2 linked regions of the Drosophila melanogaster genome follow. The protein of the gene in region 1 purifies or fractionates together with the protein of each later gene. This does not show direct contact. Each region holds a gene or a part of one and is shown on either strand. Other genes may lie near its edges.

Region 1 (3,789 bases):
GGCACTAACGGCAGACGCCGGGCAAGAAGAAGAGCAGGCTTAAGCGGCCAGCGGACCAAGAAGAAGCCGCCGCAAAAGACGTCACCATGAAATCAAGACAAACAAACGGCTGACTGGTGCTGAGGGGCTGAGGGGACATAGCCACATAAGTTGGCAGCTAATTGTGAAAACTGTTAAAAAGTTTAAGTATTTTCAATTAAGAATATGCTTCACTTATAATTGTTTATGTACACCAGACCGTTTGCAATGTTCAATTAAGTAGTAGTGGTAGCACAATGCAAAATAAGTAATAATATAAAAGATTTAGATACTAACATTTGAGCTAATCACCTATTTACAACTTAAAACTGCCGACTTGTTAAATATTTACTTACTTCTTAAAAACTGAGTTTTGAAAAAAAAATGGTAACTTGAAACGTTAACTAGCATAGATCATTGGCAGAGCTTACTTAGTTAGATGGTTTTGGCAATAAAATGGCTAAAATGGCAACACTAATCAGGGCGGAGGTTAAAAAGCATATATAGGGAGGGGGCTGGCTAAACTACCAAACGGAAAATCACATTAAAATTAAATTCAACATAAAAATCGAACGAAATCGCACATGCAAACGGGTTTGGCTCATTTACGATATTATATTTTTTTCCATCCACGCAACGGGTTTGCGGCGGGTGAACTACTTTGGGACACCTTTTTGTGGTCTCTTCAATCTGGCTTATTAGCGTCGGACTCAAGGGGAATGGAGGGAGGGAGGGGGGGGGGGGGGGTTTGTGCCGCACAAAGCCCAAAAAAAAGGGGGAAAAAAACTAAGGGGGTTCCACTAATTAACATTCAATTTAACACATTATACACCGGAGCAACCATTTTTCTTGTTTCAACCGCAGAAATGGGCCGGCGCACAAAAAGAGATCCATTTGGCCTCGTTCGAGACACTCGCCCAGATTGATGGCCCCCACAGAACGTCGTGTTTCGAAAAACGGAGCCCCACTCGCACTTTCTAAAAACCCATAAACACACAAAACCCATCAGTGGAGACCGACAGAAGATGGCCTTGAGAACAGACGCCGGCCGCCAGAGTTACGAGTTCCCCAGCGGTCTTTACATAATAAGTAACAACTTTTACTTGCTGCCACATCTCGAGCGTCTTTCCACTGTCCGTGAACTTGAAATGCAGCACAGCCAGAAATTTACAATTCAATAAATTTTTAGCAAGACCTTTGCAATTTTTGAATTAATATTCAAATCCATCAAACGTATTGATTCTCTTGCAACATTGTAGCATAGAAACATAAAGAGTAATTTTTTAAGATTATCTATGTATCATATTCGCAAGGTGGGTAACCTATTGACGATTTATAGCCCGTTCACATATGATTCGCCTGTGATTCGCCTGTGTCAATAATTAAAATCCATTTTTATATCGATTTCATTTATGATCACGTTGATGAATTATCTTCAAGTGTAAAAAAGGCAGGAAATGTCAAGCATGACGATGCCAAGCAAAATGTGATGGAAATTTCAGAGTTCATTGGTGATAACTTAACTTAACCATGGCCATTCTGAGAACTGCAAACAGTTATCCTTTTCAACAAGAGGTAATTAATGTTGGAAAATAGTAATTAATATTTATATATTAAGTACATTCATATTTCAACTTATAAATAAAATAAAGTTTCGATCTGGAATTGTTAGTATTAATTTTTTAACTTAAAACATACATTTTCCGAAAAAAGAAAATATACACAATAAAAACTATATTTCATAAAAATGATAAAAAAACATGCATAGTTAAAAGTTAATATTTATATGTTTATGTTTAATGCAAAATTGATTACTTGAGGCACGACGTGCGGTCATCTGCACCTAAGAATCGATGTCGACAATATCTACTCTAGATATTTATATATTCGAGTCTAGAGTTCCCATCTGCAAGGACATGACAAAGCTCTGGCAACCCTTTTAGCACGTGTCAAAAACTCAAAAAAAAAAGACGATGACTTTGCAGTCTAAAAGTCACATTTCTGATTTGGCGTGAGGACCTCAGTTGATTCACATCTCCAAGCGAATATTACTTAATATTATATTAATTAATATATTAATTTGTAAAGCACAGCATTTTCAAGGTGAGCATTTCAAGAGAATTCTTTTCCACGCACTTTACCCATACAAGTTAATAGGTTTTCCTAACGAAACAATGGATTTCAAGAAGCTGAAGAAAATGGAGGAGGTGGTGCGCATCGGCGGCAAAGGATCTATGCGCCGCAAGCATAAGAGATTCCCATCCTCGGCTGCGGCCGAGAAGCGCGTGCAAGCCACATTGGCCATGTTGCCGTTGAAGAATATCGACGAAATCGAGGAGGTGACCATCGAGTTCACCAATTCCAGTAAGGTTGTGTTAACCATGCCCAGGGTTCAGAGCACCGCTGGCAATTCTTTCTTCGTGGTTAGTGGCGATTTCGTGCGCAAGTCGTCAACAGCTGGCCCATCGAAAGTGGCCAAGGCAGCCAATGCGCCCAAGGCACCCATGCCACCTAAGCCACCCAAGCCGGAAGCTTTTTCCGACAAAAAGCCAGAATCAGAGGAGTCCATTAAGGTGGCCAAGAAGCCCAAGAAGCCGCGCAATCGTGTTCGTCCTCGCAACAAGAAGGTCCAAATGATGCTCTCCAAAAACAAAGAGGACGCAGCCATGGCTGGCTGGGATTCGGAGCCGAAGCTTAGCAATGGTAAACCAATTTTGATCTCCTCTGAAGATGGCAGCGATCCGGATAATGAGAAGGTGCCATCGGATGAGTCTGATGTGGATCGGACCATAGTCTGCGACAAAGATTCGCTGGGAAGCTTCGGCGATGATTCCGACGGCAAGGAGGACGTTGACACTACGGAGTCGATCTACCTGTCCTCCTACTCCAATTACTATTATTTGACGGAGCAGCTCTATCCAAATACTTATCGCGTTCAGGTCTCAGAGGACGAAGATTAGGCATATTCATTTGTTGCTACATTTGTACCAATTTCAAAAATAAATCGTATGAATTGAGAAAGTTGAGACAGAAAAAGGTTCCATATTCTATAGATTTGTACTTTAATCTCTTGGTGTTTATTGAAAGCATTGGTTTTCTCTACACTTATGGAAATTTTAATGATCTATAGTTCCAAAATAAAAAAAAGTTATAAATTTAAGATTATATTAGACTCTGTGGCTCTCAGTTATTTGTCTTAGTAAATATAGCCGCCGTTCGACGCGTACTGGGTCTCCTGGACGGATTTGGAGTAGCTGGCCTGCAAATGGGCAGGAGTAATGGTGTCGGCACCAATGGCCACGGGCACATGGGTATCGGGATTGAACTCCTCGATGCCATTCGATGTGGGTTCCTCGTACAGATGGGCAGGTGTGATCGTGTTCGCTCCAATGACGACTGGGGTTTGTCCCTGGACATAGGCGGCGATGGGTTGGGCGCTCTGGTAGGAACTGCTAGACGATCCGGCCACGATTGTCTTGGCCTGGCTATTAACGTAGCTCGTCTGGGAAACGGCGGATTGATAGGAACTGGAATCTGCCCCAGAAATAGCAGAGGCAGCGGTTGAGGCTACAACCGACTTTTTGAGTTGAGCTGGAGTGTATTCAGCGGGCTGGTAAGAGCTCGAATCTCCTCCGGGAACAGCCGCTCCCTGCTCTTGCTCTTGCTCCTGAATGTACTTGTAGTGGGCCTCTTGAACGTCCTGGGGAATGAACTTTTCAGGGGTGTAGGTATCAGCACCAATAGCAGCCGGAACTGGGGCATAGGTATCAG
Region 2 (6,018 bases), on another chromosome or scaffold:
AATTATCCGTGAATATTAAACCTATTTACACAGAACAAAACCTACAGTAACGAAATGTCATTTGTATTCAGAGAAATGTTTACATTTTTCATAATTTCACACAGAAATAAGGTATAATTGTTAGAATTAAATATTATTTTCTGTATTTAAATCTTATGTCGAAATATTAGCGAAGGCTCACACCAAGGTTGCTATCTGTGCTAACTATTTACCAAGCACTCCAACCAATTGAACTAAAAATAAAAAATTAATTCCTTTTGAAATCTTAACAATATATTGTTTTACAATAAAAAAATATGTACATCGTACCGTTGATTGTTTTAATATGAAATTTATATTTCCAATAGGTTGGAATAAGGCAAGATTGTCAAGCACTTAAATGCAGGGGTTTTAGCACAGCTAATAGTTGCTCTCAAACTGTACCAGCTGGCGGGAATTTCAAATAATTTATGTCGCTAAAATAAGTTGATGCAGTTAAGTAGTTTCAGCACGCTGCCTTTCAATTTAATAAATTAATTTATAACAAACAACGATAAAATCTTTTATTATTTACCTAATTGTTTAATTACGTAATTTTAATTACGTATAATTTAAAATAAAAATCAAAAAATGTTTATAATATAACGTTTTTTAAGCAATCAGACTGGGAATGTCAGAGCACATTGAGGTCACACAAAATTAGATACAAAATTTAAAAAACGACTTAAAATTTTTTCATTTTGAACTCCAAATTCGAGAACCATGTTCATACCCAAAATACGAGACATTGGTTACTTTGCGCTGCTGACATCCCTGCACTTGGGCTCAAATCTTCAGCCGGTCATCGAGGCGAATGCCAATCTAAAAACGGTCTATCCCTCCGTGAATCGTAATCTAACGCTTCAATTGGGCTATAAATACAATCACTGGATGCTGGTTAAGGCCATAATGTATTCACTACTATCTATGATCGGAGTTTGGTACTCACGACACTTGCAAAGTGGCAAAAGTGAGGTATCGATGGAAAAGAAAGGAATCCTTAAAACTACGACAACAGCTGCAGAGCAAGTGAAAAACAATTGGATCAAAAAACAGAATTCCGCATTGAAAAACGGAACCCTGCCGCGGAATATATTCCTGTTATTTGCTTTGCCCTGGATATTGACCTTTGTGGCCAGCGGATTGATCAACTATATTCGATTTTACATGGTCATACAGCATTTTTGCATATCTAACTGGAGGGCGATTCAGCTTTATGGAGAACTGCAAGGCCTCTTTTGGCATCGTTCTACATCCGTGACTTTAATACCCTATTGGTCGCAAATTATCGGCGGAGGAGTATCCTTGGAGAAGGCATCTCATCTTTCTGGAAATTGTATTTCCATTGAAACACATCTTTTGGACTGAACATGGCAATCTATATTTAAAATTTTTATTTTATGTTTGATGCAAAAATTATAATAATGGAAAATAAATCGATTTTGTTGACTTAGCTCTAAAGTTTTAAAGTGATTTTGATTTGATCAGTAAACTTAAATTATTGTAGCATTAATTGAGCATTGGAATTCGTTATTGGTTTATTGTTAGTTTTAATTTCTCAACAACATTTGTATTGTTGATTTCTTCTGGTGTTTTGCCTGCGACAATAAGCGACATTTTCAATCAACAAAAGAGAAAACTTTTCTATGAACTTTATGCACCGCTTGGCATTTTATTGTTGGAAAAAACTTTTCCACCACGTGGGAAATATGCGGCAATCACTTTTTCTTGCTCACTTTTATTCAGTGGAGAAAACTCACGGTGAATAAATGTGAAAGGAGTACATAAATACACAAGTGCTATTTTTTGCTTTAAAAAATGTTTGTATCCTTATATGATTATTTCAAGAGCTTTTCATTGAATGGGGAATTATAGTCAGAAAACTCTTAATAGCAGTACTCCTGCATTATTGACCTTTTAAATATCTATTTGTGTATTATAGAAATCTCAACATCACCGACATGACACTCAACCGATCGAAGTTCACTTAAAAACGAGAATTCTCCGAGCACATTTCAAAATTATACCCAAATAAACATTTTATGTAAATTGCTTTAGTGCCGAAAGTTATTCGCGCTTTGGACACTGAATCATATCGACAGGATCTGTGTCGGTCAGCAAACGAGGAAAAACGACACTTGCAAGGATCGTTTCTTGAGTTCTCCATTGGCAAACAACACAATTCGGGTCAACTCTCGATTCCCCCATTTCGGTCCACTGTTTCGACTTGCTGGTAAGTAATATAACTAACAACTAGACTGAGAGGAAATAATATATCGTTTCGGGGTACCAGTTAGAATATTTCATAGGTTCTCTATCAACTCTTTAAAAGGATCTTAGAATTTTGAATCTAGTTTTTCTTGGTAACTTACCAGATTTGCAGTAGTGGTTTCGTCTTTGAAGAAATATAACACTGCAAATAGCATAAAAAAAAACTAATATTATTTTCTTTCTACTTTTAAATTAAATGCAATGTCTTAGGGACTTAAATCAAAGAATATGTATACTACCCGTAAGATTGAAGGGGTATACTAGATTAGCAGAAAAGTATAAGAGAGGTAAAAGCATTTCCGACCTTATAAATATACAAGTTTTTGATCTAGCCAAATTAATAATAAGCTTAGTTCTTTGTTCTTAGTTTCCAAAAAAACATGAAGCTTATATACCCTTGCAGTAATAGTATATAATTTATATATATAAGAAAATGCATTAAAAATAATAACTCTTCCTTGTTGAAACAAGAAAGTCTTTAGAATAAAGCATATGTACAAAACCAATGGAGCCAAATTTCGCTTATAAATTTCCTATACATAATTTAATCTACTAGTAAAATATCTGCAAGTTTCAAATGTTCTTCTGATCGCAACTGTAAGTAAAGCTTTAGATTCTGGACCTATACATATACATAGATACAAAGTTTGTACATAGTTTATACGTACATATATGTTTTTCCTTATTTGACACATCATTTGAATTTAATCTGATCTAGTATTCCGTTTCATTACAGTTATCAAAAAATTTGTTCGGTTTGGTTTAGTCTTACCGATTTTAGCAACGAAAGCAGACAACACATTTCGTTCGTTCCTTTTTTAAATATACATTTTACGTTCGCACATGAAACATTTTTGAAACATTTTCTCTTTTTTTTTTTTTTTTTGGACACCTGACAAAACTTTTGAACGTGGCTGGTCAAAATTATTAGAGACAGTTCGAGAGACCAACATACATACACTTCGAGAGTTGCCGTAAATTGTAAAAACACACAACAGTCGTCAAAATTGTGCAGATAATAGCTCGCGTATATAGTGCGGTAAACATAATAATACTATATACTATGCGTGGACAACTGTTGCTGAAGGGACCCGCATTGGCGAGGAGCTTGAGCCGGTGCCGCGTAAGTGCCGTGCCCCAAATTGGATCTGTTCGTCATGTGACCGCCGGCTGTGCAGCTGGTGATACCGTCAAGGGCGGCAAAGGAATCGTCTTGGGCCTCTACGAAAAGGAGTCGGGCAAGGGACCTCGATTAACGCCTGCTGGCGAAAAGTTTGACGATCGTGTGCAGGGCAAGCTATCGGAATTGGTTTGCGAAACCAAATTAACTGGACGATTGGGTCGCGGCAAGGTCTTCAACAATGTGGACAGCGAGTTCAGATCCATTTGCGTGGTGGGCGTTGGTCTCGAAGGCATAGCCTTTAATGAACTGGAAATGCTGGACGAGGGTATGGAGAATGTGCGCATAGCTGCTGGAATCGGTGCCCGATCATTACAAAGTATTGGCTGCTCGGAAGTGCATGTGGATAATATGGACTATGCCGAACAGGCAGCCGAAGGTGCTGCACTGGCCATTTGGCGATATGAGGAGAATCTGGCGAAGAAGTATCGTAGCACTATACCGAAACTGGAGCTGCATGGTTCACCGGATGTCGAGTCCTGGACAAGGGGCCTCTTCAAGGCAGAGGCACAGAATTTGGCCAGAAGACTGTGTGATGCCCCAGCCAATTGTATGACACCGACAATTGTGGCACAGGCTGCAGTGGATTCACTATGCCCATGCGGCATCACCGTAGAGGTTCGCACCATGGAATGGATTGAACAGCAACATCTGAACTCCTTCCTGATGATTGCCAAAGGCAGTTGCGAACCACCCGTTCTCCTTGAGGTGGCCTATTGCGGCACCGCACCGGAAGATAAGCCCATTCTGCTGGTGGGTCAAGGCATAACCTTCAATTCAGGTGGCATCAATCTGCGTCCTTGCAAGGGCATGGATGAATTCCGCGGAGATCTCACTGGAGCGGCATGCATTTTGGCCGCCATGCGCGCAGCAGCTGCTCTATCTTTGCCCATCAATATAACTGCTGTGATACCACTGTGCGAGAATCTGCCGTCTGGAATGTCCTGCAAGCCTGGCGATGTGGTGACCTTACTCAATTCCAAATCTCTGGCGGTGCGTAATATAAGTCGAACAGGAGTGGTGGTCATCTCGGATCCCATGCTTTATGGTCAGATAACATACAAGCCCAGACTCGTCGTGGATGTGGGCTCCATGTGCAAGGGCGTAAAGAAGGCAGTTGGCGGTGGAGCCACTGGTATTTGGTCGAATTCTCACTATATATGGAAACAATTCCAGCGTGCCGGTTCCTTGACCGGTGATCGCTTGTGGCGATTCCCCTTATGGCGCTACTACAAGGATCGTGTGGCAGAGCACCTGAGCTTCGACCTACTGAACGATGGCGAGGGATATGCCTCGTCTTGCCTGGCAGCTGCTGTTCTCCACGAACTCGTGCCCTGCAGCGATTGGGCCCATTTGGATACCTATGGTACTGGACTATTGAGCACATATGGATTGATACCCTACTTGACAGCTGGCAGGATGACTGGCAGACCGACCAGGACATTGGTGCAGTTCCTCTACCAAATCGCCTGCCCCGAACAGCCTAAATAATTGATGTTCTGCGGATGACTTCGATTACGTTTTGATTGGTTCTTTGACTGGCGACTCTTAAAGGCTCTCGAAAAATGGATGTTCGGCTCCAACTGTGTATATTTATGATGTGGGTTGACGATGTTCACCCAACGTTTTAATCTGTTGACCAAAGTCCCAGGACAAGGGACCAGAGCTCGTTCAATGTTTGTATTTTATGTTTATGACTCGGCCGCATCCCGGGGCTGAGTTGGCTGGCAGAGATTGTCTAGCGTCCAAAAAAAATTCAAATTCACACAGGAAAATCATTGTATCAATCAATTATAAACGTTCGGCAGACAATCAAATGTAATAAATTGTAGGGTCATCTTAAAGGAACGATAACGATAACGAGTTTTAAAAATTAATCCAAAGTAGAGGTGATGATTTAAATCTTTTAAGCCCAAATAAGCACTTTAATCTAGCTTTGTGTCTTTAACGATGAACTATTAGCCACAGCTTTGACCAATTTTATGCATTTTTGGGTGGAAAGTATACCCACTAAACTGCCGTCGAAGGTCCTCAGACGGGCCATCGTCAATGTCAGGCGAACACAAATAGCTGAATTCCACCCAATTTGCAGACCACGTCTACTTTTGGCATATCAATGAGGCGACCGAGAAAAGGATGAGGATGATTGGAAAGTCTGGACTGACTGGAGTGACAGGATATCGAAGAGTTTATGGCAAACTTTTCCGCACGTTATTGATGTCCGGCTCAGCTTGGCTTAAATTTCAAACTTTCCCGGCACACAAGACGTCGTGCTTTTTTGGCTCGGAACAATTGAAAGGCTCCATCGTTGTAATTTATTTGTAGACTAATTCAATTGGTCGATGTAAAATTCTTTAGAAAAATACTCGATAATATTGCAAAAGAAAAAAGCGGGAAAACTAGACTCGCATGCATTTTAAAACCATTTCTCAGGAAGTTGCTGCAGCCGACATTAGCAGTCATTTATCTCCATCAGTAGTTTTAATTGAGGTCTCGATTTCGATTTTTTCGTTGAAAGTACTAATTGAGTTGGTTCATATTAAGTGTGT

Evidence for each region.
Region 2: the proteins of betaNACtes1 (region 1) and S-Lap3 purify together in Drosophila melanogaster (affinity purification with mass spectrometry, with the first as the bait; one large-scale study listed by BioGRID). This does not show direct contact.

The regions. Positions count from the first base shown.
Region 1 is NC_004354.4:14,170,874-14,174,662, reverse strand, and holds betaNACtes1 (Nascent-associated complex beta-subunit-like, testis 1), read left to right. Parts: upstream 1-2,038; 5' UTR 2,039-2,121; intron 2,122-2,175; 5' UTR 2,176-2,192; coding exon 2,193-2,978; 3' UTR 2,979-3,176; downstream 3,177-3,789. Other genes in the region: CG12480 (uncharacterized protein), read right to left, coding at 3,215-3,789.
Region 2 is NT_037436.4:10,463,160-10,469,177, forward strand, and holds S-Lap3 (Sperm-Leucylaminopeptidase 3), read left to right. Parts: upstream 1-2,027; 5' UTR 2,028-2,251; intron 2,252-3,025; 5' UTR 3,026-3,352; coding exon 3,353-4,960; 3' UTR 4,961-5,321; downstream 5,322-6,018. Other genes in the region: CG32061 (uncharacterized protein), read left to right, coding at 742-1,386.